Stegostoma tigrinum: one gene and its partner. The protein of the gene in region 1 purifies or fractionates together with the protein of each later gene. This does not show direct contact. Links are inferred from orthologs where the notes say so. Each region holds a gene or a part of one and is shown in the gene's direction. Other genes may lie near its edges. The genes, in order: card11 and malt1.

Region 1 (17,098 bases):
ACTTGAATCCATCCCATTTAGCAAGATATTAGTTTCATAGAACATAAGTTTGTCATGAGGATGAATACAGGACTTTGGCTCCACAAACAGCATGCAATGTTTACCTCTACCTATTACGGTCAAGGTCAGATTCTTTTATGATAGCGAGGTTGAAGGGGAACAGGTCTAGAAGACTTGTGTTTTTCCTGGCAGACCATCTGCTTAAGTTCAGCCTTCCCACTTCTTTCAGAAGTGAGCCAGTCTGTTCAGTAGCACTACTGTCAAGCATACTGAAGTCCCCAGCCAATATACCCTTTGTGACCTTGCTATACATGATGTTTTCGCAGGTAATGTTCAACACAGGAGAACAGATTTATCCATTGAGGAAGGGACAAAGATGATAATCAACAGGAAGTTTCTTTATCATTATCATGAATTCTGCATTGAAAACACCCAGGGCCACTCCAATTCACCACACAGATATTTCTGCAGACAAGTTATGACATCTCTGGAGCAGGGTGCTGTGTGAAGCAAGGCCTTCTGGCCCAGAGGTAGGGAGCCCTAAAATCTTTTTACTTCACATTTTTCAAAAACTTGAATTTCACCATTCAACTATCGTGGCATTTGAACCCATTTCTCCTGAATATTAGTCTGGGACTCTAGACTACTCAGGGACTCCAGGTTAGTCACCTAGGTGACATCACTACCACACCACTACCTTCCTGCCAAATCCTCACTCGCCCAAGTCTCCTCAGCTTCCAAGGGCAGCAGTTTTCAGACTACCTTGGCCATTGGTTCTCCCAGCTGTACACTGTGCTGCCACCTCTCTTGGCCAACCCCCAGACATTCCTTAACAGCCACAGAAGGCATAATAAGCATTTCAGAACTTCAAAACTCTTTTGGACTCTCTCCAATAATTCCTGCAACATGAAGGTCAAAACTGCACAGTACACCAGATTCATGTGCCAAAGTCAAATAAAACATCACTGCAAGCTTATTCCATATCCTTAGCTAGACACTGTATTTTCATCAAATCAAAACCCAAAGAACAAAGAACTGAGAGTGCTGTAAATAAGGAACAGAAAAGGTGCTGGAAAAGCTCAGCAGGTCTGGCAGCATCTATGAAGGAAAAAGAAAGAGTTAACGTTTCAGGTCCGCTTCTGAGGAAGGGTCATCGGACAGGAAACGCTAACTTTTCATTTCTTTCACAGATGCTGCTATACCTGCTGAGCTTTTCCAGCAACTGTATATTCATCGTGGATGAACACAGCAGGCCAAGCAGCATCATAGGAACAGGAAAGCTGAGGTTTTGAGCCTCGACAATTCTTCAGAAGTGAGGGAGGGGAAGGGGTTTCCCAAAAATCCACAAACCTGACTGCTCTGGTCAACCCATTGTCTCCGCCTGCTCCTGCCCCACCGAACGCATCTCCACCTACCTGGATTCCATTTTCTCCTGTTCCAGGAACTCTCTACCTACGTCCGTGACACCACCTATGCTATCCACCTCCTCCAGAACTTCCAATTCCCCAGTCCCCAACACCTCATCTTTACCATGGATATCCAGTCCCTATACACCTGCATTCCTCATACAGATGGCCTGTCCTGCAGGCCCAACAAGTCCCCCTCCACTGCCACCCTCATCCATGTAGACAAACGCGTCCTCTCCTTCAAGAAGTTCCTTTCAATTTCTCCCACCTCCTACATAAAAGAGGGGGTGGCCATGGGTACCCACATGGGAAGAAGCTATGCTTGCCTCTTTGTAGGTTACGTGGAACAATCCCTCTTCCGAACCTACACTGGTCCTAAATCCCACCTCTTCCTCTGTTGCTTTGATAACTATAATCGACACCACCTCGTGCTCCCACAAGGAGGTCAAAGAGTTCATCCACTTCAACACCTTCTATCCCAACCTTAAGTTCACCTGTACCATCTCTAATACATCTCTCTCTCCCCATCTCCGGCAACCACTGAGAAACCAATATCCGTTTCAAGCCCACCGACTCCCACAGCCACCCAGAATGTACCTCCTCCTACCCACCTTCCTGCAAAAATGCCAACCCCATTCCCTGTTCCTTTACCTCGGCCGCATCTGCTCCCAGGATGAGACATTCAACACTCGTACATCTCAGATGTCCTCGGTCTTCTAGGACCGCAACATCCCTACCCCCTCCGTAGTCGAGAACGCCCTCGACTGTGTCTCCCACATTTCTTGCAACTCATTCCTCACATCCACTCCCCGCAATGACAAAACGAACCAAAACAGAACCCCCCTTGTCCTCACGTACTACCCCAGCAACCACCAGATCCAACGCATCATCCTCCGACACTGCCACCATCTGCAATCTGAACCCACCAAAGACAGGTTTCCCTCTGCACCCTTATCTGCTTTCTGGAAGGACCAGTCTATCCATGACTTCCTTGTCCGTTCTACACTCCCCTCCAGCCCCACCACACTTCTCCCTGCAACCGCAGGAAGTGCTACACCTGCCTCTACACATCCACCTTCACCCCCATCCCACGCCCAAGAAGACTTTCCACATCAAGCAGATGTTCACCTGCGCGTCTGCTAATGTGGTATACTGCATCACTGTTCCTGTTGTGGCCTCCTCTACATCAGGGAAAGCAAGCAGAGACTGGGGACTGCTTTGCAGAACACTTACACTCGGCTCGCAACAAACAACTGCACCTCCTAGTCGCAAACCATTTCAACTCCCCCTCCTATTCCACAGACGACAGGTCCATGCTGGGCCTCCTGCAGTGCCACAACGATGTTACCCGAAGGGTACAGGAACAGCAACTCATATTCCACTTAAGAACCCTCAGCCCAATGGTATTAATGTGGACTTCACAAGGCTCAAAATCTCCCCTCCCCTACTGCATCCCAAAACCAGCCCCAGCCTGTCCCTAACTTGTCGTTCCACCTATTCCCCCTCCTCTCAAGCTCCACCCCCATCTCCTACGTACTTGTCTCATCCCACCCCCTTGACCTGTTCATCCTGCCTGGACTGACCTGACCTATCTCCTCCCTGGCTCCATCCGTGCCTCTTTGACCGGTCTGTCTCCTCTCCACTCCCTATCTTCTATCCACCACCCCCCCCCACCCCCGCCAAATATCTTTTTTGGAACCTCCTTCCCCTCCCCCATTTCAGAAGGAGGGTCTAGGCTCAAAACATCAGCCTTCCTGCTCCAATACTGCTGCTTGGTCTGTTGTGATCATCCAGCTCTACAACTTGTTATCTCAGATTCTCCAACATCTGCAGTTCCTACTATCTCTGTATTTTCATTGTGATCTTTATATGGTGAACTAACAACTTTAAAAGACTCACCACTAAACTCCTCAAATCCATTATCACATTAGTCCTTTCAAGCATGGTGCCATTTAATATATAAATTAGTATTCCATTCAACTTTCCAATCCGAAGAATCTATACTTTTGAACATGGAATTCCGTCTGCTCTCACTCTGCCCGTTGACCTAACACAGCAAATATTTAAAACTAATGCATTTTCATTATAATTATAATACTCCAAAGTCATTTACAAAACTTCTGAACAACCAAGTGAATATGAAATTTTATGGCCTTCCTCCGATGACCAGTTATTGCTCAAGTCACCTGATATTGCATTATTTTAGAACACCTTTTGTTATTTATCACATCAATCCCATCATCTACTTCACCACTTGTGCTTTAGACCAACAGCTTGTGAACAGCCCTGTTTCCACAGAGTCAAAGACAACAGAACACAGCAGGCCACGCAGCAGAGGAACCAGAAAGTTGACGTTTCAGGTCAGGACCCTTCTGCAGAAATGGGATCAAATGCCAGATTAGTTCAGTTAGCACTTATTCATGGGCCAAAAGATTTAAGTTCAAGGCCCACTGCAGAACTTCTGCACATAATCTGGATTAACAATTCAGTATGATAGGTCAAAATGTTATGTTTTCAGATGAAATATCAAAATGAAGTCCCATTCGTTTGTTCAGGTCAGGAGAGGTCCCACGGTGCCTTTAAATGCAGAGAAACTCTCATGGCATCCAAGCCAACATTTATTCTTTGATCAACACAAAACAAGTGCTCAAGTTTGGCAACTGATCTGCCTATATTACAAAAATGAAAACGTAATTCTCCTTTAGAACTGAACAGGTGTACAAATGCAATGCTCTTTAGTTCCAAACAGTCATATTGGACTTGAAAATATTAACTCAGTTCCTCTATTTACAGCTGTTGCTACACCCGAGTTTCTTCAGCACTTCGCTTCTATTTCAGATTTCTAACATCCACAGTATTTTGCTTCTGCTTGAAAACACCAAGATTATTTTGCAATAGCCAAATCACAAACACCTATAAATTCAAGTTTGTTTCTTTTTTCTCTTTTGAAATCGAATGAGACAACAACCATTACCTATCCTGTTATCCACCCAAAGTAAAACCTCAAAAGTAAATTGTACAGCCTTATTCAAATGTAGATGTGATGTGGCTGCCATTACAGAGACAGACTGCAAAAAAAAGATGACTTGAATATATAACACTAACAAAAATAAAGCTGGAGAAGAGTGGAAGAGTAGCTTTGTTAATTAAGAACAGCATTAGTACAATAAAAAAAATCATATCTTAGTTGTGGAGATGAAGATGTCAAATCAGTTTAGGAAAAACTGGCTGGGGAAAGAAGTCACTTTCAGCAATGGCATATTACCTTGTAATAAAAACCACATTGTCAGACAGGATAGAAAAAAGGGGGGCCAGTGGGAAAGATATGCCAAGAGTCATGGGTGATGTTAATCAATATATAAATTGGATTGGCAGAGTCTGAGTGATGAGTTTATGGGATTATATTCAGGAGAGCTTCTCATGGCACCAAGTTCTGAACCAAGTAGTGTGCAAACGCGACAAGATAAGGCAATGTACAATAAATAGGCTTATTTAGGACTTCATATTAAAGACATCCCAAGGTAACTAACTTTACTATGACTCAGTATCATTTTCAGTTTAAGGGAAACGAGTGCAAACCCAAGAAAGTATCATGGGGAGGTGATGGCCTAGCGGTATTAATTGCTGGACTGTTAATCCAGAGATCAAAGAGCATTCTGGAGACCTGGTTTGAATCCTGCCACAGCAGACGGTGGAATCTGAATTCAATAAATATCTGGAGTTAAGAATCTAATGATGACTGAGTTGATTGTCAGGAAAAGCCCATCTGGTTCACTAATGTCTTTTAGGGAAGGAAACTGCCATCCTCACACGTGACTCCAGACCCACAGCAATGTGGATGACTCCGAGCTGCCCTCTGGGCAATTCGGGATGGGCAATAAACGCTGCCTAGGCAGCGACACCAACATCCCATGAATGCATAAAAGGGGAAAAAAGAACATTATAAGCTTGGAGGATGACAATTATGGCCACAAAAAAAATTCCTGTTCACTTAGACTTATGCGATGATGCAATAGCCCGTATTTAAAGTAGTATTTCAAAATACTTAGAAAAAGTACATTCCGGTGACAAACAATGGCTCAAAAGAAAGGACACACCTGTTCCAATCAAATATGTTAAAGATTGGATTAATCCAAAGAAGAAGCACATAATTCTACCAAGATGAATGGCAAGTCAATAGACTGGGCAGGATATAAAAGTTAGTGCTGGGGTCTCAATAATACACAATTGATATTGATGTCCTGAATGAAGGAACTGAATGTACAATTCATCAGCAAATTTAACAAACATAGATCAGAAAAGAATTAGTGGCAAGTACATAGGCAACTGGAATGGGATACAAATAGATTCACTTAGTGAGCAAAAAAAAAGTTAACATATGAAGTATAATGTAGAAAACTGTCAACTTCCCTATTTTGGCATGATGAATAGAAAAATAATGTTACTTCAATACAAACAGAAACTGCAGACATCTGAGATACAGAGGGATCTGGGTGTTATGATGCTGAAATACAAGACATCAGCATGCAGGTACAGCAAGTGATTAAGAGGGAAAATGGATAGTTGGCATTACTAGAAGGGAAATATAAAATAAAGTTTGCTCTGCTGCAGCTGTACAGGGTGCTGGTAGGCACATACCCGGAGATGGGTGTACATTTTGGTTTCCTCATTTAACGAAGGTTATAAATGTATTGGCAGTTTGGACAAGGTTCAAGCAACCGATATTCAGGATTGGGGATGGAGGATGGTTATGTTATGAGAAAAGGTTGGACAGGCTAGCCTGTTTCCATTGTAGTTCAGAAGAATGAGACATGATCACAAGAAAAAAAAAGGTTCTGAAAGGACTTCAAAAGGATGAATTAAGTTGTTTACTCTTGTGGGACAGAGTAGAACTCAGAGTCAGGAGTTCCAAAATAAAAGGGGTACTCTGTTTAAGACAGACGAGGAGAATTTTCTTTCAGAGAGTCATAATTCATCGGAACACACTTTCCCGGAGATGGCAGTGGGAGACAGAGGTAACTAAATTGTTGCAAACAAGGGAGTCAAAAGTTATCCAGGGTATTTGGGAGTGTGGAATTGAGATCACATCCAGATCAACCACCATCATATTGAATGGTCGAGCAGGGTCAATGCATTGACTGATCTATTACTGTTCTTAACTTTTATGTTTATATTCTTAAAAACGTGCACACTTCAATATTCATATACATTTGACAGAAAACTACCTTTTACAAATTCATACTTCCCAACTACATCTGTCCCTATAATTATTTTAGTGCTCTAATTTCCACGTAAAAAGACTAACAGACTTATGATTTTGTAATTGATCTCTGTTAATGTCAAATAGTAGACTGACAATGGGAAGTATTCCAAAAGTGCACACAAATCGCTGAAGAAAGAGGTTGGTAAAAAAATGGCATTGACTTGATGGGCTTAACAGCTAAACATTTGCTGTAATATCCTCTCATTCTTGACATAAGGTAACAAAAGTGTTCAGATTACTAAAGAACATCTTTTTGTTTAAAATCCAAGATGGCACGTGACTAATCTCATTCCCACTGGGGATTTACAATCAAAAAATAATTACCACAAAATACAACCTGAAGTTCCAACTACACTGTACTTTGAATGAAGTACAACTGAAAAACTTATATTTTTTCCCATAATCAATTTTCCTTTAATAGCAACAGGACAAATGGTTTGAGCCTTCAGCTTAATGATGCCATTCCCAATTTAGAATTATAAAGTACACAGTGTTTCAGCACAGAGATATAATCCCAGCAAGTGGGACATTGAAGCTCCAACTCACAACTCCACAATGACATCCAGTGGGATCTTCATGTCTGGCAGGTGTGGGTATCCTGCCTCTGTGCAGTCTACGGCAGCTTATAAAACCGTTTTGTCCCATAGGACTAACCACTTATCAGCTGATACACATTGGAAAAAACGGTTACTGCTGTGAAGGAAACCATAATGTCATGAGTCAGATGCTACTCAGTTTATGAATCCTTTCACTACTTTAAACTATTCTGCAAGGGAAATGTGGAGAATAAATTTCAAAACAAAAATCAATTATAAAATAGGTGTATGAAACAACAGATATTGATGCTACTCAAACGAAATTAGATTAAGACAGCTAATTCAATCTTAATAGAAGTCAGTTTTTAAAAAGTTTAAACATAGGGACAGGAGTGCAACATAAAAGCCCTTTATTTGGAATGAATACAAGTTTTTACATTGGGATACTAATCCAATTGAGATCGCTGGCACCAGAACAAACGCGGCACTGTTTATGATGTATGACGGCGCATCGCTCAAGCAAAGAACTTCGGCATCCCACCATAAAGAGAGCAAATATCAGTTCATTCATTGGGTAAAACAATCGCGTTTCAAATACTTACTCGAACGCACGGACAATGGTACAGAAAGTGTTGTTTGCATTATCTTGTCTGTTAGCTAAATCAGAGTTTGCTTATATGCTGAATAAAGTAAGCTTGTTTCAATTAACAAATAATCCATAATGCAATATGGAAAGCGAGAGCAAAAACAAAGTCGCCAGAAAGCTTCAGGGGTCCGAGAAAAGGTCAACGGACCCGAAACCTTAACTGATTTTTTTTCCTTCACAGATGCTGCCAGACCTGCTGAACTTTACCAGCAACTTTGTTTTTGTTCCTGATTTACAGCATCCGCAGTGGTTTCGTGTTTTTTTTTAAAAAAGAGAGTAAGGGATTACCTCGGGTTGAGAAAGTAGTACGTACATTAGGCTTCTACTTCGCGTTGCAATTCTGTGATGGAAAATGAAACTGGCACAAGTGCTTATTTACACTGCCCAATAGAAGTGCAACTCTTTGGTTTGTTCCCACGGCAAAAAAAATAAAAAGCAAAACGCACGCTGTCTCATTAATTGACTCACCATCGGATAATTGTTCCTTAATACTACAAAGTCAGCTTGGAAAGTAAAGCTATGAGAGCTGATAGCAGACAATATTCAAATGTAACCCTTTGCGTACCGTACAGCTTGCAAAATACCATTTGATTAACAAGCATGTTGCAAAGAAACCATACGACAGTTGAAAAATATGGTAGCGTTTGTGTCCGCACTTAAAGCACAACACAAATGTTGGACTTTAATCTCTCCTTCACATCACTTGGAAGATTTGCATAAGCAAAAACATAATTTGTTCCCACTTTGAAGGTGTTTCGACTCCTGTAATGTAGAACTTAATCTTACCTTGAGCCAGGGTCTGTAGCACGTGGATATAAAAGAGAGCTAACATCCACATTCGCCCAAAACATCCAAACAAATTAAAGTTTCCTCTCGCACTAACAAATCCAGCTGTTCTTCGGAATACTCCCGATTTCGGTCCCCTAATCAATACATTAATTTCATCACTTCGGTTTTCAATCTGGTTATCGAAAACACCTTTCAAACAAGGCCGTTGCTTCATCGCCCTTTGGTTATTGATTGAGTAGTCCGTATTCCCGATTTCTTTGGCAATTTCGATCAACTGATTATGGTGGGCATTCGAACGCTGGATCGATCTCTGCTTAGTGAGTCCGCTTGGGTAAAGGCTCCCGATCGGTCCCTGCAAGGCTTTCCTTTGGCATCGATCTTTCGGATGATTGATTACAGATGTCGCTGGGTTTACAATTAGTTCATGGCTAGTAGCCCCAGAGTGCGGTCTTTTCCTGCTGCTAGAATTACTGATCAACGTTTGCGGGCCCTTGCTGCTAGCCCCTCGAGTACAGATCACCTCTGGATACGCATCAACATCAATGAGTAACACAGCGATGACCTGAGCATCGACCAGCCCAAAACTCGCGTCTCCCATCATCTGTTGATCGCCTCGATTAGTGCAATCAGGTCGCTCCCTAACAATCGATACGCTTTGGTATATTTTCAATGAAATATATTAGACTGAATGAAGGTCTCCTCCAAGCCGCTGGTTAAATTGTGTTATTTTGGCTGGTTGCCCTAGAGAGGAGATCGGGTTTGGTTCAATCTTTCGCAGCCTGCTAATGATCGCCGCTTTCCTTGTAGAGGGTTTGGATCGGTCCCTCTTCCCAAAGCCCGGATTTCCTCAGCGGGAACAGCGTCACTCCGTTCCGACAAGCTGCCTTCACCCCTGGGATGAGAAAGCAGAGGTGTAAATAAAGGGAAGCGTTTTCTTCCCAATCCTCGTTTTCCTTATTTTTTAATTTCGTCTGTTACTTTCCAATGTACACCGAGGAGGCACCAAACAGCAATGATCTCAACTTCCAGCCAGCCGCCTGCAATACCTGGTTGATAATTAACTCCAACGCTTTTTTTAAAAAGAGCAAATGATTATCACTTGAATGGTTGTTTGGTTTTATCACCTAAGTGGAGACGGGATAAAATTCCCAAACCTGAAAATGATGAGTCTGTGAAAGTTTCAACTCATAACTGAAACAGCTTTCAAACTTTACTTGAACAAATTACATGCATTCTCCAATTGGATGAACTGCGCTTGGCAAAGTTTGAACTTATATCTGACAGCGGCGCGAGACCAGGGGCGTTCGCCACACACACACACACACACACACTGATTTAGAGTTACATTAGTACGCCTAATATGTTTTATAAAAAAAAACATAATCTTCAACAACTTTGAACCCTGCAAGAGACCTGAAATTAAATTCTGAGGTGAACGCCCCTCGTCCGATGACTTTCCAACAGATTTCCCTCTTGCTTTGAACTACCTTGTAACGGCAGTTTGCGATTTCCTTCTTCCCCGCCGCCTTTTCCTGTCGACGGACCGCACTCTTTCGGCTCGAGCTGAAGCTCGAGCGCGCCTCTGATTGGTCAACGCCAGCAACCACAACCTGCGATCTGATTCGTCAACATTCCACCAGGAGAAAATCTCTTCCGGCTGATTGGCCGAATTCTGCACCACCGCTCGCTGATTCGCTGATATCTGGACAGGGTTCTCAGTTCCGATTGGATGGAATGCGATCGCTGCTGTGATTGATCAATTCGTTGATAGGTGCTGGCTTTCCATTGGTAATGAAACAGGCGACCATCTGTCTCCGGTCACTGGTCTCTTCACTGGAGCCCTGACCAACCAATAGGAGGACGAAATGAGAGGGGCTATTGATTGGTTCCAAAGAAGAAATTTCCAAGACAGAAAATTGGGTTTGCACAGCTTCTTGTCTTTAATGGTCAAGTTCTTCATTGAATCCTTAAATAAAACAAAGAACTGCAAATGCAGGTAATCTGAAAAAATTGTAGAATTTACTGGCGAATCTTAGCAGGTCTGGCAGCATCTGCGTGGAGAAAGCGGACTTAACGTTTCCACTACAGGTGACTTTATCAGAGTACCTTCAGTCGTTTTCGAGAGCGGGATTTCTCGTTAATCCATCACTATGCCGTGTTTTGTTTGAATGAAATTGTTCTTAGCAGAGCCAACCTATTTTCGACGATTCAGACCTACCTTACCATCCACCCTGCGTCGATGTCACTTCTCTATCATTTGTGCTTCCTTGGCGTTTTGCTATGTGTACCGACACAAGAAGTGACTGGGGAGTCCAGAACCAGCAGTCACAATCTTAAGGATACAAAATAGGCAATTTAGAACTGAGTAAAAACCGAAAGAACAAAATTGCTGGAGAGGTTCAGCAGATCTGGCAGCATCAGTGAAGGAAAAAGACAGAGTTACCGTTTCAGGTCCAGTGAACCTTCTTCAGAATCTTCCAATTTATGACTCAGATCAGGAGATGTTTCTTCGTCCAGATAGTGATGACCATGTGGAATTCTCTGCCACAGAAAGCAGTAGAGCCCAAAGCATTGAATGTTTTCACAAATAAGTTACTTAGTTAATTAGAACTTTAAAAAATTGAAGGGAAAGAGAGAAAGCAAGATGAATTAAGAACAGGGTACTGACTTGGATAATCAGCCATGATTATACTGAAAACTGGGCAGACTGAAAGGACCAAATAGCAAACTCCTGCTCCGATCTGCTATTTTCAATTAATCCATTTTGTAGCAACAAAGGGAAAACTGCTGGTCATTGTTAGACCACAGTGCATCCCATCTTCCAACAGATTCTTCATGCTTGCCCTGCCCTGTCCTCAAAATGTAAGTTCATCACTATCTCCAAGAGAAATCAATGAGATCTTTCTTATAGACAATACCACAAAACCCCAACACCCAGTTCATTCCCTTTCCAGGCCATGACCGTTTCCTTTTCGGGTGAACCATTTACCCAAAGCACTAGGTTAATCGTGCACAGATGTTCTTCAGTTTTACTGCCAATCAATTCCCTGAAAACCATGATGGGAACCCTCAATGCACTACAGCACTATGATTGCTTACAACGTAATTTACCAACAGAAAAACCATCACAGACTAAGCAGAAAAGTCAGCTAAAACAATTAGAATTCAACGCTCAGGTGTAATGATTCGCCCATCAAGACAATTAATTAGACAACTAAATATCTCTAATATTGTTGCCCAAATTAACACCTTTGATAAATTCTTCTGGACATCAATATTTTTTGAATGGAGACAGTAGGAACTGCTGATGCCGGAGAATCTGATACAACAAGGTGTAGAGCTAGATGAACACAGCAGGGGAAGCAGCATCAGAGGAGCAGGAAAGCTAACGTTTCAGGCCTAGACCCTAAAGGTCAGCTTTCCTGCACCTCTGATGCTGCTTCGCCTTCTGTGTTCATCCAGCTCTACACCTTGTTATATATATTTTTTGAAAGATTTTTTTTTTACTAGCTCTTAAAATAACTACTAACTTACTTTGGGTTTACATGGCTTAATTAGAATTTTACATTTTTGATACCATATTTAATATCTTCATTGTGTTCCCCAGACAGAGAGATTTTCTTTTCAAACTGTAAAGCTAAACTTCCCTAATCTTTCTTCAAAGCTCATTCTCTTTGCACTCGAATTGAAATATGACTGTTCTCCATACACAGCCTAATGCAATCTTTAGGGGCAGCCCTTTTCCCTTTTAGCAGTTACTGAACTTCAGGTAGATAATCAGCTTTGATCATGTTGAAAGATGAAGCAGACCTGGAAGGCAAGATGGCTGACACATTCTATTTTTTATGTTCTTCTGGCTGCTTATAAAAAAGCAGTGGATTTCCTGATTTTTCTCATGTGCACCGTAAGTTAAGTGGCTAAGAATAAAAGATTATCATGTTTTTGCAGCAATAATTACAAGCGGGATTTGTAGCATTCCAACAGTATCTCATTGACTCAAACTTGCACATATTACACACTGGACTTCATTTTCTTCAAAACGAATGTTTATTTTTAAATTTAAAAGTGAAACCTCAATAGTTGATACTAAAATGAAAAGGCAGCAATTAAAAATACACAAACATCTAGAATGTGCAGCAACAAGGACAGTCAGCTTTCCAATTTCACTTGTGTCCAAAATTACAATCTTCACAATAAGGTTAACTTTCTAGCCCAAGTGGCTGTTTAGGTGGTGATTATTTCATTAAGGATTTTTGTTCTAAAAAAGCAAATGCTGCCCGGAATACTGTAAAGAGAAATTCTTACAATCTTCCAGAGGCTCTACGGTGCTCCTCGGCAGCAAATGCTTCCAACTCAGAAAGTCAAGTTTACTTTTTGGACAGTTAACTTATCTGAACAACAATGTTCACTTCACAGGTGCCTAAAATATCAAGGGTTAAAATGCAATTTTTCCAAATTGCCATCAATAGCTAGTGTGAGTCTTAATTGAAAGATGTTCCTGTTTTGCAAAGTCTAAATAATTTCTTTCCACTTTTGTTTTGAATTATTGAAAAGATTCACCTGAACCTGGGCTTCAAAAATTGTAAATCTACCAAGTTTTTTGTGCATTTGTCACACTATCATTGTTGCAGCATCGAATACAGTATTCTAAGTCTAAAGAATGTATTGTAAAATCTCAGCATAGTTCTGGAAATGTAATTCTCTCACCTTTAAATTACTTCATTGCATTACCTAAATGTTGAAAATGATATTTTTACTATTATTCCCAAGCTCCCTCCTAGTCCATCCTTCTTCTAATTCAGTTCCATTCACTGTATATGTGTCTGAGATTATTTTGATGCACATTTAGCAACCTGAATTTCACCAGTGATATGTCTGCATAGTCAACCGACATCTTTCTGACAGCATTTTGCTGCATTCTGTCGCTGTGCCACTGCCCCGATTTTGTGTCTTTACCAGGTTTGAAGAGCTACCAGATGGTTTTGGTTTACATTGTCACCCTTAGGTAACATTATCTTTTCAAAGTCTGCCATTATTCTCTGCAAGTACTTCTTTACAGATGTTTACGTGTTTATTGTGGTCCAAAAATCATTTTTGTCTCTTCCCATATATCTTAAACCTAAAAATTTGTCACTGAAAATTCAATGTTTAATTCAAGCTTTCCTCCATAAACAGACACTAGATGGCATTGTCTTAGTCCTTGAAACGTAATAAACCTAAGAAATATAAATTGCAAATTAACTAAAACCGGATTAAATAATTTGCCCTAGATGGATTTAGAGTTGGGTACACACAGACAAGCTTTCTTCAAATAAGTTTTTTTAATTAAAATTTACATTTTTGCCAAAAAAACTAAAGGTAGAATTGACCAGCAACTAGAATCATAATTTTCACTTTGTTGCAGTAACTTGCTTTCTCTGAGGTATAGGAACGAAAAAAATGCGGAGCTCAGTTATGTAATTTTTAATTGTAGGGTCAGATTTTAGCTCTGTCAGTGAATGAGTTTTGCTTGAGTTATAATCTAATACATGGTCCGTGTTCTCAAATCGGTTCATACCTTCGTTGTTTTAAAGCAATTAGTCGAAGAATCATTCATTGGCAACATGGCATTCATGCTTTAACTCAACTGGTAATAATTTCTAAAAACAAAATAATGTAACGAACTTTTTTTTTAATTGCTCGGGAACTGTGCGCAGTTTCCACGTTCTCCCATGTCTGCGTCGGTTTCCGCCGGGTGCTGCGGTTTCCTTCCACAGTCCAAAGATATGCAAGATAATAAAGTGTGAAGCTGGATGAGCACAGCAGGCCAAGCAGCATGTGAGGAGCACAAAAGCTGACGTTTCGGGCCTAGACCCTTCATCAGGAAGGGGGGTGGGGAGAGGGTTCTGGAATAAATAGGGAGAGCGGGGGAGGCGGACCGAAGATGGAGAGAAAAGAAGATAGGTGGAGAGGAGAGTATAGTTGAGGAAGTAGGGAGGGGATAGGTCAGTCCAGGGAAGACGGACAGTTCAAGGAGGTGGGATGAGGTTAGTAGGTAGGAGATGGAGGTGAGGCTTGGGGTGGGAGGAAGGGATGGGTGAGAGGAAGAACAGGTTAGGAAGGCAGAGACAGGCTGGGCTGGTTTTGGGATGCAGTGGGGGGAGGGGACGAACTGGGCTGGTTTTGGGATGCGGTGGGGGAAGGGGAGATTTTGAAGCTGGTGAAGTCCACATTGATACCATTGGGCTGCAGGGTTCCCAAGCGGAATATGAGTTGCTGTTCCTGCAACCTTTGGTTGGCATCATTGTGGCACTGCAGGAGGCCCATGATGGACATGTCATCTGAAGAATGGGAGAGGGATTTGAAATGGTTCGCGACTGGGAGGTGCAGTTGTTTATTGCGAACCAAGCGGAGGTGTTCTGCAAAGCAGTCCCCAAGCCTCCGCTTGGTTTCCCCAATGTAGAGGAAGCCACACCGGGTACAATGGATATAGTATACCACATTGGCAGATGTGCTGGTGAACCTCTGCTTAATATGGAAAGTCATCTTGGGGCTTTGGATGGGGGTGAGGGAGGAGGTGTGGGGGCAAGTGTAGCACTTCCTGCGGTTGCAGGGGAAAGTGCCAGGTGTGGTGGGGTTGGAGGGCAGTGTGGAGCGAACAAGGGAGTCACGGAGAGAGTGGTCTTTTCGGAGGGCAGACAAGGGTGGGGATGGAAAAATGTCTTGGGTGGTGGGGTCGGACTGTAGATGGCAGAAGTGTCGGAGAATGATGCATTGTATCTGGAGGTTGGTGGGGTGGTGTGTGAGAACAAGGGGGATCCTCTTTGGGCGTTTGTGGCGGGGTGGGGTGTGAGGGATGTGTTGCGGGAGACGCAGTCAAGGGCGTTCTCGACCACTGTGGGCAAGTTAGGTGGATTGGCTATGTTAAATTGCCTGCAGGGTGCATGGATAGACAAGTTAGATGCGTTTGCGACGAGGAAATGCAGGGTTACAGGGATAGGGTAGGGGGACAAGTCTGGGTGGGATGCTTTTGGGGGGCGGGAGGTTCGGTGTGGATTAGCTGGGCCAAGTCACCTGTTTCCACACTGTCGGAATTCTGTATAAATGTGCACCCTTCGACCCTGAATGTTTTCAGCGCCTAGAAGTCAGCCTGATTGACGGGCTTGGTTTCCAGCCAGGCAGGGAGAACTTTGTACCTGTAAGATCAATTGGGTTTTGTAGAGGAGGGTGCAGCTTGAGAGCTGTGGGGAAACATTCCTGCTGCTTGTGGCCACAGCAGTGCACTTACTTTCTCGCTGACAATGCCCTCGCCTCAGTTTAGCTGCTAGATTTCCCAAAGCTTAGAAAAACCTGCCCACCGTTAAACCCGAAAAACTGAATCAGCTGCAACCATCATCAGTAAAATATTTACATTTCGAAGTTCCTTCCCCTCCCTGAATAAAGTCCAAGGGAAGTGGTTTGAGAGTCGGCGTTCATGTTTAACTTACCAACGTTTGATGCAAACCCAACCCATCCAAATGTTGTGTACTGAAATGTTCCCGCCCCCACATTCCAACATTTCGCAGTATTTCATACAAGATACATTTTCTAACTCTTCATCCGGTCGTTGAACTGCGACTGATATCTTTGCTCAGAACCCACCCTCTGTTTTCTCATGGAATTATCCCAGCTGATCTCAGAGAAATACATATTCAGAATGGAGCTTGTTAATGCTGAACTTTTATTTATATTTCTTTATTTTTTTTATCTATACCTAAGATTTCGTATCTGGGTTTGTCTGTACCTAACTTTATAACGACTGTAATGCTGATCTTTTAACTTTTTTTTTTCATTTTTCTAATTTGTACATTAGATTTTGCACTGAGCTATCTTGGTACCAAAGGTGGCGCCAGAAATGGCAATTTCGTGCACTTTTCACTGTATGCATATATCCCTGTACTTCAGTACGTGACAATAAACCGAATCCTTATTCTAATACTTCGTTCTGTTATTGAAGAAGTACATTGCACATGGTTTCTGAAGGAACCAAACAGAATGCGTGAGGTAATTTGGACTGAAATGATGTTAAGCATTTCTTGTCATTTATAAAGTAATAATTTTGGAATACTCCGTTGAGCTTTGAAAATCCCGCAAAGAAATAAATTTGGGCAGCCTCATTCAGTTAACAGAAATCTTAAAATTTAGCGTGTGAAAAGCTAAAGAGAACCTCCTGACTGCCATTTTATTTACACATAGAGTCAAAGGGTCACGCAGCACAGAAACAGACCCATCAGTCAAACCAGTCCATACTGACCGTAATCCCAAATTTAACTAATCCCATCTGCCTGCACCTGTCCCATATTCCTTTAAATATTTCTTATTCATGTACTAATCTAAATGTATTTTAAAAGCAATTTAAAATATAAACATATTTATTGGAATCAAATCATGATTATGTGGCAGAGATAATGGGAACTGCAGATGCTGGAGATTCCAAGAT
Region 2 (16,616 bases), on another chromosome or scaffold:
GGGCCCAGCTGGCGCCTTCCCCAACTGGTCAGGGGGCCAACTGGGACTGTGCGGGGTGACGACTGCTGGGGTGTTTTCTTTGCTCTGTGTTTTTTTTTCCTTCTTTGTATTTTTCCTTTAGTTGGTGTATGTACCCCCTGGGTAACCCGGAGCGACTTGCATGACTGGGTAGGTGTGTAAATATGTCTTTTTTTTTGTACATCTTACGAATAAAGTATATTTTTTCAAATAAAAAAAAGTGACGAAACATCTGAAAACTAACCTTCCAGCTCAGCAAGCAAACTCACATCCAGAACTAGATTATCTTTTCAGAATGCTCATATTGTCAACACCTTGAACTCTATTATATAACAGGCTAAAATGTCTGCAAGAGAATCATTTGGAATCATTTGCTACCTATTTCTGCTTCCATTCAAATTGTTAGAAATGCCAAAGTAAAGCTGAGGAGCAAGCACATGTCTGCAGAGATCATGTATGAAGCTGCTGTCTCTGTGCAGTGTGGTAAATACTGCCTTCAACTCCTCTGCCTTTTGACAATTAAACTCAAAGATGTGGTGGTAACAGAGTGGACCCGCTCATGTGGCAGATGTAGTTGCATGACCGTATCATGACAAGCAAAAATTAATTCTGAGATTCCTTGACACCAATCAGCCATTTCATTCAATCTTTTCAATGGGAAACACTAAAATTTGTAAGTAAAATATTCATAAAATCCATCATCTGAAAGAAATAATTTCCCTGCTCTGTTAACCTCTTGGAAAGACCTGTGTTACAGTTAATTTCTTTGTGATGTTTTTTAATCACAATCTACATGTGTTTGTCATAATGAAAACAGTTCTCCTGTGACTTGATCAATAAAAATCCATCCTATCCTTATTCAGTGTATACACTGAACACTCTGACCTCAGGGATATCACCCAAGTCCCCATTCCTCAGAAATTTTTGCCAATAATTTCAAATCCTATGACATCATTCCACCCTACTATAATCTTTTTCGATTGTTATATCTTAGTCACACCTTTAACTCTGGCGCACGTGCACACTGATTACACAGCCTCAGAGTGAGAGGAGTGATTGGTCAAGCCCTACAACTAATGAAGGTTGTTTCTTTATCAGTGAAATGGCAAATATTGACAGATCCTATTGTGAGGATAGTGATTTTAAGAGGTGTGTTTTGTCCAGGTTTTTTCTTAAGAGAGAGAGAGACTGGGGGATAGATGCCAATCAGTCTATCAGAAGATGAACAAATTGTGAGACTTTGGGTATCACATTGTGGAGCTGGAGGAACACATCAGGCCAGGCAGCATCAGGGGAGTGGGAAAGCTGACATTTTGGGTTTGGACCCTTCTTCAGAAATCTCTGTTTTCCTTTGGTTTCGTATCTGCATGAAATCTGTGATGCAAGTTGGATATGAATTTGACATGACTGATGCACTTCACCTTTTTGGTTAAGACTGATTTATATCAGTTTTGTTTCAACTGGTAAAACCGCATTGTGACTTTTAAAAGGTCCCTGAGCAATCTTGTTTGTTCAACTGTTATGTTTTTATCAGACAGATCAGTTTTAGCTCATTGTAAATGATTGAATGTCTGACCAGCATTTGATTTTAGTGAATGAAGATCTGTACTTGTGTAATTCTATCCACTGGCCAAGGTCAAATTTAACTGAAAGGATTTCAGACAGCAGAATAACATTGGTCTTTCTACCTAATCCAGACAAGTTGCATCTTGAATGGTTTAGGTAATGTAATGGTGCAAAATATGCATGCAAATCAGTAAGATGTGCTACTTCAGCTAGTTCCTAAGTGTGTAGTTCCTAATGAGCTTCTTTATGCTTATCAATATGTAGTAAATTTGACCTTGGCCAGTGGATAGAATTACACAAGTACTGGTCAGCTTCTTCTAAAGTGGAGGCAATGGCCTAGTGGTTTTATTGCAGTATTGTTAACCCAGAGACCCATGTAATGTGCTGAGGACCTGGGTTCAAATCCTACCATGGCAGATGGATGAATTTGAATTCAAAAAAAGAAATCTGGAATTAAGAGTCTAATGACCACGAATCCATTGCCAGTTACTGGGAAAAAATCCCATCTGGTTCATTAAGGTCCTTTAGGGAAGGAGACTGCCATCCTTACCTGGTCTGACCTACATGTGACTCCAGACACACAGCAATGTGGTTGACTCTTAACTGCTCTCTGGGCAATTGGGGTTGGGCAATAAATGTTGCCTAGGCAGTGACACCCACATCTTGTGAACCTAAAGGACATTTAAGGTGAGCGCCAGAAACACATGTAGATTGATATTTGAGTAATTTTATTATTAACCCAGAAGGTGATGGGAATCTGGAACTCACTGGTTGCAGGGCTGGTAGAGGCAGAAGCCCTCATAACATTGATGAAGTATTTAAATGTGCAGTTCTACATCCCAGGGCTCTTAAGGAAGTGGCTCCAGAAATAGTGCATGCATCAGCAGTCATCTTCCAAGATTCATTAAACTCTGGTACAGTTCCTAAAGATTGCAGAGTAACTAATGTAACCCCACTATTTTAAGAAGGGAGGTGGAGAGAAAAGAGAATTATAGACCAATGATTCTGATATTGGTGGTGGAGAAGATGCTTGAGTCCATTACTCATCATTTTATAGCACAAAACGTAGAAAACAGTGGTGGGATCAGCAACAGTCAACGTTGATTTTTAAAAAGGGAAATCATGCTTGATAAATCTACTGGAATCCTTCGAGGATATAAGTAGTAGAGTTGATTGAGGGAGCCAGTAGATGTTGTTTATTTGGACTTTCAGAAGGCATTCAACAAAAGTGCCACATAAAAAATTGGTGTGTTAAATTAAATTGCATGGGATTGGGTAGCGTATTGATATGGATAAAAAAATTGGTTAGGAAATGGGAAACCGAGTAGGAACAAATGGGTCTTTTTCAGAATGGCAGGCAATGGTTAGCAGTGTACCACAGGGAATGGTACTAGGACCACAGCTATTCACAACATAGGTTAATGCTTTAGATAAGGGAACTGAACGTAATATCTCAAAATTTCTGTATGACACAAGGGTGGAACTGTGAACTGTGAGGTGGATTCAAAGAAGTTACAGCGTAATCTCACAAGTTGAGTAAATTCCCAATGTGGGGAAGCCCAGAATTAGTGGTCATAGTTTCAGGATAAGGGGCAAACTTTTTAGGGCTGAGATGAGAAGATTTTTTATTACCCAGACGGTGGAATTTGCTGCCTCAGAAAATGCTTGAAGCCAAAGCATTATTTGTTTACAAGAAGGAGGAAATAAAACTCTCTTGCCAAAATGGACCAAGGGATATGGGGGAGGGTAGGATTACGCTATTGAACTCAATGATCAGCCATGATCTAAATTATGAAGGCATCTTCGGTTCTGAACCTGGATTTTGGTGGCCGCGGGAGGGGGTGATGGGGGGAGGTGGTGGAATCTGAAACTTGATCCTTTTCCCATCAGCTTGACTTTGCCCAACTTTCCAGTGTTACTGCAGCTCTATATGACAACTAGCTGAGCGTGCGGAGGCTGAAGGAGTCCAATGGCCTCCTCCAGCTCCGAGTTCCTCTGTTTCTATGATGTGATGCCAAAGCATACAAAATTATGAGCCAAGTGCTGGAAATTGGGATTCAAATAGTTAAATGTTTATTTTTGAGAACTGCAGATTCCATGGGCCCAGACCTCCATGACTCCAATAACTAAAGCCATGTTGATAGAGTTTATTTAAATTTTTCAAAGCATAAAAGGATCTGAAAGCAAATTTTCGTCGCCCTTCTATTTCTTCAATACATTTAAAGCTTTGCAATCACAAGCCACTTCTAAGCTCTGCAGAGAAATTTTCTCTCTCCACCTCTCAGATTACAAATAAAACCAGGCTGACAGGAATCCAATATTTTACACATAATAACATATGCCAACTCAAAAACAACCGGAAAATCGACAAAAAAACACAGCGCCAATTGTAGATTATACAATGAAAGCAATTCTACCATTGGTTTAAACAGACATTGGGCTAGATGTGCAACTATAAAGATATTGAAAAGCCCAGTTGCTGGCGAACAAAGAACCTCCCTGCCCATAAACAAAGTGACCAGAAACTCTGAACATACCTTATTTATATGTTATTTAACATTCAGCACGGTGAACAGGAAGATTAGCAGCCGTGTTTGATCCACACTGATATACTGAAGCCCATTTGATCTATTTTTGCATCTTATACTCACGAACTTGTAATAGAGACTGTGTACACACGCTCTGGGAGTTATCATATACAGCTGCAGTAACACTGGAAAGTTGGGCAAAGTCAAGCTGATGGGAAAAGGATCAAGTTTCAGATTCCACCACCTCCCCCCACCACCCCCCTCCCGCGGCCACCAGAATCCAGGGTCAGAACCGAAGATGCCTTCATAATTTAGATCGAGCAACAGTTGATGATTATTACTATTCCTTCTAAAATAAAACAAAAGAACTGTGATGCTGGAAATCTGAAGAAGGCTCGCTGGAGCCGAAACTTAGACTCGGCTTTGTCTCCACAGACCTGTCAGTTTCTCCAGCTATGAGTGATAATGGGAACTGCAGATGCTGGAGAATCCAAGATAACAAAGTGAGAAGCTGGATGAACACAACAGGCCAAGCAGCATCTCAGGAGCACAAAAGCTGATGTTTCGGGCCTAGACCCTTCATCAGAGAGGGGGACGGGGAGAGGGTTCTGGAATAAGTAGGGAGGGAGGGGGAGGCGGACTGAAGATGGAGAGAAAAGAAGATAGGTGGAGAGGAGAGTATAGGTGAGGAGGTAGGGAGGGGATAGGTCAGTCCAGGGAAGACGGACAGGTCAAGGAGGCGGGATGAGGTTAATAGGTAGGAAATGGAGGTGCGGCTTGAGGTGGGAGGAAGGGATGGGTGAGGGGAAAAACAGGTTAGGGAGGCGGAGACAGGCTGGGTTGGTTTTGGGATGCAGCGGGGAGAGGGGACAAACTGGGCTGGTTTTGGGATGCAGTGGGGGATGCGGAGATTTTGAAGCTTGTGAAGTCCACAACCCAACCTCACCATCAAGCCCGCAGACAAGGGAGGCGCAGTGGTAGTATGGTGCACAGACCTCTACATCGCCGAGGCCAAACACCAACTCTCTGACACCTCCTCCTACTGGCCCCTTGATCATGACCCCACCCCCCCAAACACCAAACCATCATCTCCAACACCATCCATGAGCTCATCACCTCAGGGGACCTCCCACCCACAGCCTCCAACCTTAATTTTCCCCAACCCCGCACGGCCCGTTTCTATCTCCTTCCCAAAATCCACAAACCTGCCTGCCCTGGTCGACCCTTTGTCTCAGCCTGTTCCTGCCCCACCGAACTCATCTCCACATATCTGGACTCCATTTTCTCCCCTTTGGTCCAGGAACTCCCTACCTACGTCCGGGACACCACCCACGCCCTCCACCTCCTCCAGAACTTCCAATTCCCTGGTCCCCAACACCTCATTTTCATCATGGACGTCCAGTCCCTATACACCTGTATTCCTCATGCAGATGGCCTCAAGGCCCTCCACTTCTTCCTGTCCCGCAGGCCCAACAAGTCCCCCTCCACCGACACCCTCATCCGCTGAGCCGAACTCGTCCTCACCCTCAACAACTTCTCATTTGATTCCTCCCACTTCCTACAGACAAAGGGGGTGGCCATGGGTACCTGCATGGGCCCCAGCTATGCCTGCCTCTTTGTAGGTTACGTGGAACAGTCCCTCTGCCGCACCTACACAGGCCCCAAACCCCACCTCTTCCTCCGTTATATTGATGACTGTATTGGCGCCGCCTCTTGCTCCCCAGAGGAGCTCGAACAGTTCATCCACTTCACCAACACCTTCCACCCCAACCTCAAGTTCATCTCCAACACATCCCTCACCTTCCTGGACCTCTCAGTCTCCACCTCAGGTAACCAGCTAGAAACTGATGTCCATTTCAAGCCCACTGACTCCCACAGCTGCCTAGAATACACCTCCTCCCACCCACCCTCCTGCAAAAGTTCTATCCCCTATTCCCAATTCTTCCGCCTCCACCACATCTACTCCCAGGATGAGGCATTCCACTCCTGCACATCCCAGATGTTCACGTTCTTCAAGGACCGCAACTTTCCCCCCACAGAGGTCGAGAATGCCCTTGATCGCGTCGCCTGCATTTCCCGCAACACATCCCTCACACTCTGCCCCCACCACAACCGCCCCCAGAGGATCCCCCTCATTCTCACATACCACCCCACCAACCTCCGGATACAACACATCATCCTCCGACACTACCGCCATCTACAATCCGACCCCACCACCCAAGACATTTTTCAATCCCCACCCTTGTCTGCCTTCCGGAGAGACCACTCTCTCTGTGACTCCCTTATCCGCTCCACACTCCCCTCCAACCCCACCACACCCGGCACCATCCCCTGCAACCGCAGGAAATGCTACACTTGCCCCCACACCTCCTCCCTCACCCCTATCCCAGGCCCCAAGATTACTTTCCAATATTAAGCAGATGTTCACCTACACATCTGCCAATGTGGCATACTGTATCCATTGTACCCGGTGTGGCTACCTCTACATTGGGGAAACCAAGCGGAGGCTTGGGGACCGCTTTACAGAACACCTCCACTCAGTTTGCAATAAACAACAGCACCTCCCAGTCGCGAACCATTTTAACTACCCCTCCCATTCCTCAGACGACATGTCCATCATGGGCCTCCTGCAGTGCCACAATGATGCCATCCGAAGGTTGAAGGAACAGCAACTCATATTCTGCTTGGGAACTCTGCAGCCCAATGGTATCAATGTGGACTTCTCAAGCTTCAAAATCTCCCCTTCCCTCACTGCATCCCAAAACCAGCCCAGTTTGTCCCCTCCCCCCACTGCATCACAAAACCAGCCCAGCCTGTCTCCGCCTCCCTAACCTGTTCTTCCTCTCACCCATCCCTTCCTCCCACCTCAAGCCACACCTCCATTTCCTACCTACTAACCTCATCCCGCCTCCTTGACTGGTCTTCCCTGGACTGACCTATCCCTCCCTACCTCCCCACCTATACTCTCCTCTCCACCTATCTTCTTTTCTCTCCATCTTCGGTCCGCCTCCCCCTGTCTCCCTGTTTATTCCAGAACCCTCTCCCCATCCCCGTCTCTGATGAAGGGTCTAGGCCTGAAACGTCAGCTTTTGTGCTCCAGAGATGCTGCTTGGCCTGCTGTGTTCATCCAGCTTCACACTTTGTCATCTTAAACATACGCCCTCTAGTTTTGGAGTCCTCAATGTTGAGAAAAAGCATATTCACCTTTTTCAAGTCCCTTGTGATTTAATAAACTTTGATGACGTTCCTCCCTCTGCCTCCGACGCTCCAGGGAAAATAGCCCCAGGCTACTTAGCTTCTCTCTATGGCTCAAACACTCCAATCCAAGCAACATCCTTGTAAATCTTTTCTGCATCCTTTTGTGTTTAACAACATCTTTCCTACAGCAGGAAGACCAGAATTGCACACAGTATTCCAAAAGTGGCCTAACTAATGTCCTGTGCAGCTGTATTATGACTCCTATACTCAATACACTGACCAAAAAGGCAAGCACATCAAATGCCTTTTTCACCACCCAGTCTACCTGTGATTCCACCTTTGAGGAATTTTGTTTTCATGTGTCCTCGTGTTGATCTCTGTTTCTTCAAGAATCTGAACATCCGTTTTTGTTTCTTGAGTAACTTTCCAAGAAGTTTCTCTTTTGAGCTGGAAGTGCACTAGACACTGAAATGCTTACGTGTTTGGTATTGAAGAGGAAAATTTCATTTGTTTGTTTTTCCTCCTTTGCAGGAAGACTATTTAAACATCAATGTGATTCCTTGGAGGTGACATTAGCTTTGATCTAAGATCTGTTGGCTAAGACAAGTCCTTTTATATATAAGGACTTCCCGGCTCCTCTAAAAAGCAACGCAATCCTCTCCATCTCCTTGGACCTAATTTCTGTTTCTATATTTGTTGTGTTGTCATTTTGCTTTGCCTGGTGCCTTTGTCACAACTTAATCATTCTCACTCTCATCACGGGCTGTTCCTTTTCAATTCTGCACTGATGTGGTTTACAGGGATGTTGTCAGGATGGCAGGTTTGAGCTTTAGGCCAAAGCTAAATAGGCTGGGGCTTTTGACCCTGGACCATTGGAGGCTGAGGGGTGACCTTATAGAGGTTTATCAAATCAAGAGGATAGAATGAATAGTCAAGGCCATTTCCCCAGGATAGGGGAGTCCAGAACTAGAGGGCATAGGTTTAAGGTGAGAGGGGAAAGATTTAAAAAGCGCCTAAGGGACAACCTTTTCAGCAGACGGTGGTCAGTATATGGAATGAGCTGACAGAGGAAGTGGTGGAGGCTAGTACAAATACAACATTTAAAAGGCATATGGATGGGTATATAAATAGGAAAGGTTAAAAGGGATATGGGCCAAATGCTGGCAAATGGGACTCGATTAATTTACCATATCTGGTTAGCATGGACGCGTTAGACCGAAAGGTCTGCTTCTATGCTGTACAACTCTATAACTTTACGTCCGTGACTCGAGAGGCTGTTATCACACACCATCCAGATTGAGGAATACATATATTGCGGTGCCACCATTCTCGCTGGGTCAAAGCATTGGAACTCATTCCCTAACCGTAGTCTAGGTGTTACTTATACACCCCATGGACTATAAGGTTTTATTTCCGTGACTGCCCGTCGCCTTCTCAAGCAACCTTGGTTACAATGGAACTGCCTGGGTGACTGAAGGAGCCGAATCAATGTAAGTTCTGTTGGAAGACCGTTTCTTTTTCCGAGTCAGTTTCGCACGATGAACCACACTTCCCAGAGGCCTTTGCACATTTTTGGGTGTAGGTGCCTTTACTTCCTGCTTCAGTAGTTTATCGCCAAAGTAGCAGGAAGTGTTGTAGACGATTGGAATAAAGTGCATTCACTGGAGGGTTTCACTGTGTTTCTTTCTGTGTGTACCGCCACGTTATCCCAGACAGAACGGGGACAATTTTTAGAGATGGGGGCACTCCTGCTTTATAACGGAGAGTCTGACTTTTGACGTGCAACAGTGTGACCACAATCCCTTCAAATTTCTTTTGAAACCAGAAGTTTGAAATCTCAACGTTTCACTTTTAAAGGAAAAAAAAATGTCTGTTTAGAAAGGCGTTGGATTGAGGTCATCTTTAGACGGTTGAGCGGGGTCGTGTTTTTGTTGGCTGGATTCTGCCCGGGGAGTGGGTGAACGGAGAGAGGAGCAGACGGCTGTCACCCAGGCTCTGGTATTGTTCAATGACAGCAGTAGCACCACTGGGAAACAGGACTCGCTGCAATGGCAGAGTCCACGCAGGTCACGCCGATAAACATCAACAGCCTGAAGGAACACACGCTGAAGAAAATAAGCGATCTGCTGGACAAGACCAACAACCGGGGATGGAGGAAACTGGCGGAGATTGTGGGAGCTGACAAGCGTTTCAGACTCACGTAAGTATATGTACAAGAGTACGTGTGTATCGCTCCCCGTTCTCCAGACCAACGTCCCGCCCCAAACATAAGTAAATCGTTCACTTTTGGCGGCGTTAAATTGAGTTCTCATTGTCACATTTTCTTTATCATTCTGAAGTTGGTCGAATCCGTTATTCAGTCTTACAGGATAATCAACTGTGGTGTGCATCACAACCAAATCATACACTGACTTGTCGAGTGCAGTTTCCTGTCAATGTTTTACAGGAGCCAGAAGCCTGATTGTTTTCACCTTTCTCCATAGTCTGGAAGCTACTTGTAGATTTTCAAAATATTAGAGATGTTATTTATACAGTCCAAAGACGTGCAGTTTGGCCATGCTAAATTGTCCATAATGTCCAGGGATGTGCAGATGAGATGCGTTAGCCATGGGAAATGCGGCGTTACAGGGATAGGTTAGGGATTCGGGTCGGCGTGGGATGCTCTTCCTAGGGTCGGTGTGGACTTGTTGGGCCGAATGGCCTGTTTCCACTCTGTAAGAATTCTATGGATACCTCTGGAGCAGGCAAAACTTGAACCCAGGCCTCCTACATCAGAGGTAGGGACAAAACAACTATGTCACGGGAGGCATTTACCACTGCTTTATTTTGGTAAACTGCCTACTTTTGGGTCTTAAGCTGTATCTGTGACCATTCTTGAAGATTCTCAAAGCCTGAAACTGAGTTTTTAAACTTTCAGATTCGATAAAGTAGCATTCACCCTAAAAGAGACAAAATGTACCCTCTTTATTGGGAAAAGAGAAACTATTCAGGAATAACTTTCTCACCTTGTTTCAGAGTTTTCAAGGTGATGATGTTTGTTTGCCCATCAGATGATTAATTGGGGGCAGGAAGAGCCCAGCAGATACTAGGTTTGTAAACTGGGATCCTCATGGGGAAATAATGCACTATGAGATGTCGCCATTGGATGAGATGTGAAAGTGAAATCCTTCTGCTCCCTTGGAGGATGTAAAGTATCCTGTGTCACTATCTTGAAGAATAGATGAGTCACCTCTGGTATCCTGGCCAATATTTATCCCTAAATGTAACAAAAATTGATTACCAAATCTTTATCAGCATGCTGTTTGTGGGAGCTTGCTGTTCACGTAGCAGTTGATGTGATTTTCAGATTGTTTGACATTTTCCAATCCCATAGAAACAACTTGTATCAAAATTAATGTTTAAAAAAAGGAAAGAACTATGAGTCCTGGAGATCTGAAACAAACAAAAACTGAAATTTCTGGAGAAATACAGCATTGTCTTGCAGCATCTGTGGGGAGAAAGCAGATTTAATGTTTCAATACTGTTCTGAAGAAGGGTCACTGGACTCAAAACATTAGCTTTCTGTTCTCTCCACAGATAGTGCCAGATCTGCTGAGTTTCTCTTGGAATTTCTGCTTTTATTTCTTTGTAAAAATTTAGATTTTGACTTTTCAGATCTTTATGACATGGTAATGTAGACATGAGCTGTAAATCGTTGGAATCTGGATATAGAAGCACTTGAGTATCTTGCCTCTTATTGTGGGTTAAGTTCTAATGCCCAGAGAACTAATAATATCAGGTAAAATTTGTGAATAATTAAAAAAAATGACAAATCAATAAGAGACAGGATGGTTTTCCAAAGAGATTTAGATAATTGGTACAATGAGGGCCATTTGGTCTGGGTTTTGCATCAAGGTTTTGTGATCTTGAAGTCATTGACTGCAATGGTGTTTGGAGTAAACTGAACACGAATAACTTTCAAAAAGGAATTGGATAATTATTTTAAGAAGGAAAAACAAATTAACAGCTCTGGGGAAAGGATAGGGGGATATGGACCAATTGAATTACTCTTTCAAAGAACCAGTACAGGTACGATGGACTGAAGGGCTTATTCTCTGCTGTATCATTCCATGAGGACCAGCTGTGCTTGTTTAAGTTAACTGATTGCTGTAAGGCAATAATAAATCATAAAATGGATGTCATAGTTGCTGTCTGTATGAGCTTTCAATGAGTGTTTCATAAAATGACTCAGAATAAACATGATAAAAATTAAGGTGCATGATTTTATTAGGGTTCTAATCAGAAATATTGCTCTGGAGCAGAATGCAAAGAGCAGAAGTGATCAAATGCTTTTCGATTGGGGTAGGTATATATGCCAAGAATTTGTGCTGGAACCTCTTTTGCTTTACACTTAATTAGTCTGAAGCGGGCAAATATTGAAGATTCATTTCAGCAAATTGGTTAAAAGTTGACTAACTGTGAGGAAGAATAACAATGTTTACAAAGAAAGTAAACAGTTTACTGGAATTGGCAGACAATTAAATATAATTCAATGCAGTGAAAGGTATGGTAGTATCTCTTGAGAAAACTAACATGTAAGATCACAGCATACAGTATGTATGTATGTAATACTACTTCTACACAATGATTCAATAACAATGAGGCTAGATTTATCTAGAAAATCAAAGGGGAAGCTTTGGAAAAAATTTGTTGCACAAATAGCATCCCTTTAATGTTTCCCTTTATGTTGGAAAATAAATCTGGAATTATAAATGTGGAGAATTTCTATTCGTATCAATGTACATTTTCACAAGTTAGTTTTTTGACTACATTTCTTTGATGTGGGTGCTGCTGGCATGCCAGAATTTATTCCTTAATTGCCCTGGAGAAGGTGGTAAGTTGCATTCTTAAACCACTGTGGTCTTTAAGGAAGAGGCACCCTCAGTGTTGTCAGGGAGGGAATTCTCGAATTTTAAATTTGAGACAATAAAGGCAAAACAATACAGCTCAAAGTCAGATGGTGTGTGACTTGGAGGGGAACCTTTGCATGTGGTGATGTTCCCATGTGTCTGCTATCTTCTCCTTCTGGCTGTTAGAGATTGCAACTTTGTAAGGTGTTCTCAAAGGAGCCTTGGTGAGTTACTGCACTTGCTGCATTTTGTAGATGAAGTACACTGCCAATGTGCATCAATGGTGTGGGGAGTGAATGCTGAATGCGAATGGGATGTTGTCAGGCAACACTGTTTTGTCCTGAATCATGTCAAATTTCTTGAATGTTGTTGAACTTACAATCATCCAGACAACAGGCAAGAACATTTAGATATAAATTTATATTTAGGTTTTATTGTCATGTATACTCAGATGTGTGGTATGAAAAGTGTACGTTGCCTCACATGATGCCATCTTAGGCACAAAGTACTGGGTACAAAATCTTAGTTACAGAATTAGAAAAATAAAGAAATAAAGTTTTAAAAAGTCAAACATTACAGTCCTTTTTTTAAGCCATAGGCCTGCACACGCTCCAAGCTGGGCATTCTCCAGAGGGTTCGCTCCCTCTTGCACTGGTCTATGACCTGCCTATGCTCACCAGCTGCCTACACTGCTAACCACCACTGTTGACCTCCATCAAGCATGCCAGGCTTCGCCGTCATTCACAAGGCTTTGGCCTTGACCGCCTCTGCTGCCACCCTTCATGAATGACCACTGCCACTGCCATCTTCTGCCACTGCTGCCTTATCAGTGACTGCCACTGCCATGATCCAGCTTGTGCTGGGCCTCAGTCACTGCTGCGCTCCCTTGCTGCATTAGCCATATTGCTGCAGAATCCTGTTCTGGGACTGCTCTAGACATCAATGATGCGCTGCCGTCAACCACTCCCAGCCACTACCGTCACTGCCACTGCCTTGATGATCAAACTCTAATGACCAAAGAACTAAAAGAAATGGAAAAAAAAGTGAGAAAAAAAGAAAAAGAGAAAGAAACAGTCAGAGTGGACAAACTTCGTTGAGGAGCTCTACTCTGCTGCCATCTTGCCTGGAAATATTCCATTACAATCTGGGCTTGTGTCTCGTTGATGCTGTTAGATCCACAGAGCAGCTCGCCTCTGACCTGCTGTTCTAGCCACAGTATTTCTGGAACTGTTCTAGTTCAGTTTCTAGTCTATGGTAACTCCTTGGATGCCGGTAGTAGAGAATTCGGTGATGATAATGACATAGAATGTCAAAGGACAATGGTTAGATTCTTGCTTTTTTGATATGGTCATTGTCTGGCACTTTTGTAGGATGACTATCATTTGGCAGTCATCAGCCCTAGCCTTTGCATGGCACTTGTTGCATTTGGGTATAAGCTGCTCAGCATCTGAAGTCACAAATACTAGTGAACATTGCACAATAATCAGCAAACATTGCCACTTTTGGTCATGCGATGGAAGGAAGGTTGTTGTTGAAGTATCTGAAGATGGTTAGGTCTGAGACACCACCATGTGAAACTCCTACGTGGTGGTTTGGGATTGAGATAATTGACATTCAGCAACCTCACACTCAGCACGAAGGAAGCTGGTTATCTCCAGCCATGTGAATAGATTTCTCCTGACTGCCAGTGAGTTGGGTTTCAATTAGACTCTTTGTGCCACTCTGCTCAGCTATTGCCCTGGTGTCATTAGCGTCACCTTGAATTTGTTTTAGTGAGATATGTTTTACATTGGTTATCTCTCTGATTCCCTTTTATTAATTGACCTATGTCGTTCTGACTAATTCACTTGACCTTGATTTTGCATTATTTCAGGTTCTGTCTTTCAGAGATCCTTTAAACCCAAATCTTAGCTACCTTGGCCAAACCGATCAAAAACCCATTAAGTGGCCACTTGTCTCACTTTCTGTTAATGCAGTGTTATTCCGTGCAAGTTGGCTGGTATGTCTGCCAACAAAACAGTAATAAATTGCTATTATAAGTAGTGTGACTAATTTTGCTTTTCATTTGTGGTTAATTTCGGTAAATGAAGATTAATTGCTATAATATTTTGAGGTTCATCTACCACTTCTACAGTAGTGTGATAATTTTAACAAAAAAATGTCAACAGAAATTGAAAGCAAAGCAGTGTAGGCTGTATGTCAAGCCAAGGCCAAAACTGAGGTGTATGATCACAGATTTCTTTTGGGAGCTGGAATTACTTGTATGTCCCACTCATTATGTACAACCTATACAAAAACTACAAATGAGCAAGCCAAATATTTATGATCAGTTAACATCTTAATGGCTGAAAATGTATTCATTGTTTAGCTAATTTTATAAAGCTGTTTGGATTTATTCCCTATAGTTACAGAAAGACATTTCAGGTAATTAAAGGGACCTGGATATAATTTTTTTTGATGCTGTAATTAAATGAGGTGAAATGCTGGAAAGTCCCCACTGGAAAGTCCTTAATAGAATATCTGTACGTGTGACCAAATATGGGGAAGTCCCACCAGAAACACAGTGGCATCTCAGACTGGTTAATCCATAATGTATCATTGCAGAAATCCTTATTGACTCGATAACAGCTGGGCAAGAATGACCACCGTCATGTTCGTAGTGGATTCTCAGCCTGTTCAGTAGCCAGTGAAGCCTTCAATTATTTCATGCTGTTCTCCAAACTGAAAATATGAAAACAATTGAAAGTATGTCAGTGGGAGGCTGATAAAATGCAAGCAAGGCAATAGGTTCACACTGTTCAAAGGAACATGCCTCAACAAAGCACTGTGAATACCTTTAAGTTCAAAGAAAACCTTTTCATCAGATCTGGTTTGTAGCCTACCTTAAAGTTTTATTTAAATCTCCACAACAAGGTGCTGAGCATTATGATGAAGGCAGTCATGAATTCAGTGCTGTGCCTTGTCTGTTGTCTCAGTGCCCCTTTCCACTGATTGAAGTTGAGTGGCAGGAATGATGTCTGAGCTGAGACTCCAGCGCTGAAATATCATGTTCAACACCAGAGCATTAGATATAAAGGTGGTTGTCCAAGCGGAAATGAAGAATATTTTTTCTGAGACTAATTTGGGAAAAGCTCCCCTATCCGTTGAATATCTTTGTATTGTCATGTTTTATTGCAAACCACGTTGTTATGACTTGTTATGCATATTAAGGTGTAATGGGAGTTTTTTGTAGGTTATTTGAGGGGAAATGCATACAATATATTTGCTGTGACATACACATTAGTTTCACCTTTAACGCAACAACACTCAAGAAGCTCACTAATATCAAAACAGCAAGTTAATTGGCATCCCATTCATCATCATAAACATTCACTCCCTCCACTACTGGCATGCAGTAGTATGCATCATCTGTAAGTGTACCATTTGGAAGAATGTGGGCAGCAGGTACTGGGTAGTACAACCACCTGCAAATCCCCCTCAAAGTTTCGTAGCATCCTGTTGTAGAACTATATTGCCATTTCTTCACTGTCACTCGGTCAAAAACTTCCCTTCCTAAAAGCAGCAGAAGGACTGTAGTGGTTCAGGAGGTGGCTCAGAATCACATTCTCAAGGTCAGTTATGGACTGGCAATGAATGCTGACCCTGCCCAAATCTTGTGAAAGAATTACAAAATAGAACTTGCTGTAGTTCTCTCTTTCTCTACTCACTTGGAGCAAAGCTCCTACTAAAGCATGACTATGAAGCAATGAGAGTTGAGAATTTTGATTTTAATTTCAAGTGTAAATTCCTGCAATCTGAAACTTCACTTGACAAAACGCTGTGGCATCATAGTTCTAATTCTCTAATCCACACTCACTTAATTAATGCCATGAACACTGAATTTATATTGGGGTAACTACCTTTGGGTACAGAGATAGTGGGGGGTACAATTAGACTGACTTAAAAGATTAAAGGATTAAATACGAGAAAGTGATGTCTGAAATTTCACATCTGCCTTTGTGTTAACTGTAATGTTCTCAGGAAGCCTGTGGATTTTAAATTTGTGCAACTAAACCGGGAATCCATTGCACCTGAATGAAAATCTTCATTTAGAAAGAAAAGTTAGCAACAGTGAAGAACTGAATGCAGCAGAGGGGTAAAAATCGAAAGATCTGCAGATGCTGTAAATCAGGAACAAAAACAAAATTGCTGGAGAAGTTCAACAGGCCTGGCAGCATCTGTGAAGGAAAGAACAGAGTCAATGATTTGGGTCCAGTGACCCTTCTTCAGAACCGGACCCGAAACGTTAACTCTGTTTTTTTTCCTTCACAGATGCTACCAGACCTGCTGAGCTTTTCCAGCACTTTGTTTTTGTTGCAGCAGAGAGGCAGACTTTTGTGTGTGTCTTGCCTCCAATAGGGGTATTTTACTTTTTAAA

Evidence for each region.
Region 2: the proteins of card11 (region 1) and malt1 purify together in Homo sapiens (affinity purification with western blotting; 6 studies listed by BioGRID and IntAct, with this or other methods). This does not show direct contact. The link is inferred for Stegostoma tigrinum from reciprocal best matches to the Homo sapiens genes CARD11 and MALT1.

The regions. Positions count from the first base shown.
Region 1 is NC_081376.1:13,748,345-13,765,442, forward strand, and holds the start of card11 (caspase recruitment domain-containing protein 11), read left to right. Parts: upstream 1-10,505; coding exon 10,506-10,636; intron 10,637-17,098. Other genes in the region: sdk1a (protein sidekick-1), read right to left, coding at 8,638-9,241. UniProt on the Homo sapiens protein: Adapter protein that plays a key role in adaptive immune response by transducing the activation of NF-kappa-B downstream of T-cell receptor (TCR) and B-cell receptor (BCR) engagement.
Region 2 is NC_081354.1:151,652,643-151,669,258, reverse strand, and holds the start of malt1 (mucosa-associated lymphoid tissue lymphoma translocation protein 1), read left to right. Parts: upstream 1-8,930; 5' UTR 8,931-9,358; coding exon 9,359-9,510; intron 9,511-16,616. UniProt on the Homo sapiens protein: Protease that enhances BCL10-induced activation: acts via formation of CBM complexes that channel adaptive and innate immune signaling downstream of CARD domain-containing proteins (CARD9, CARD11 and CARD14) to activate NF-kappa-B and MAP kinase p38 pathways which stimulate expression of genes encoding pro-inflammatory cytokines and chemokines.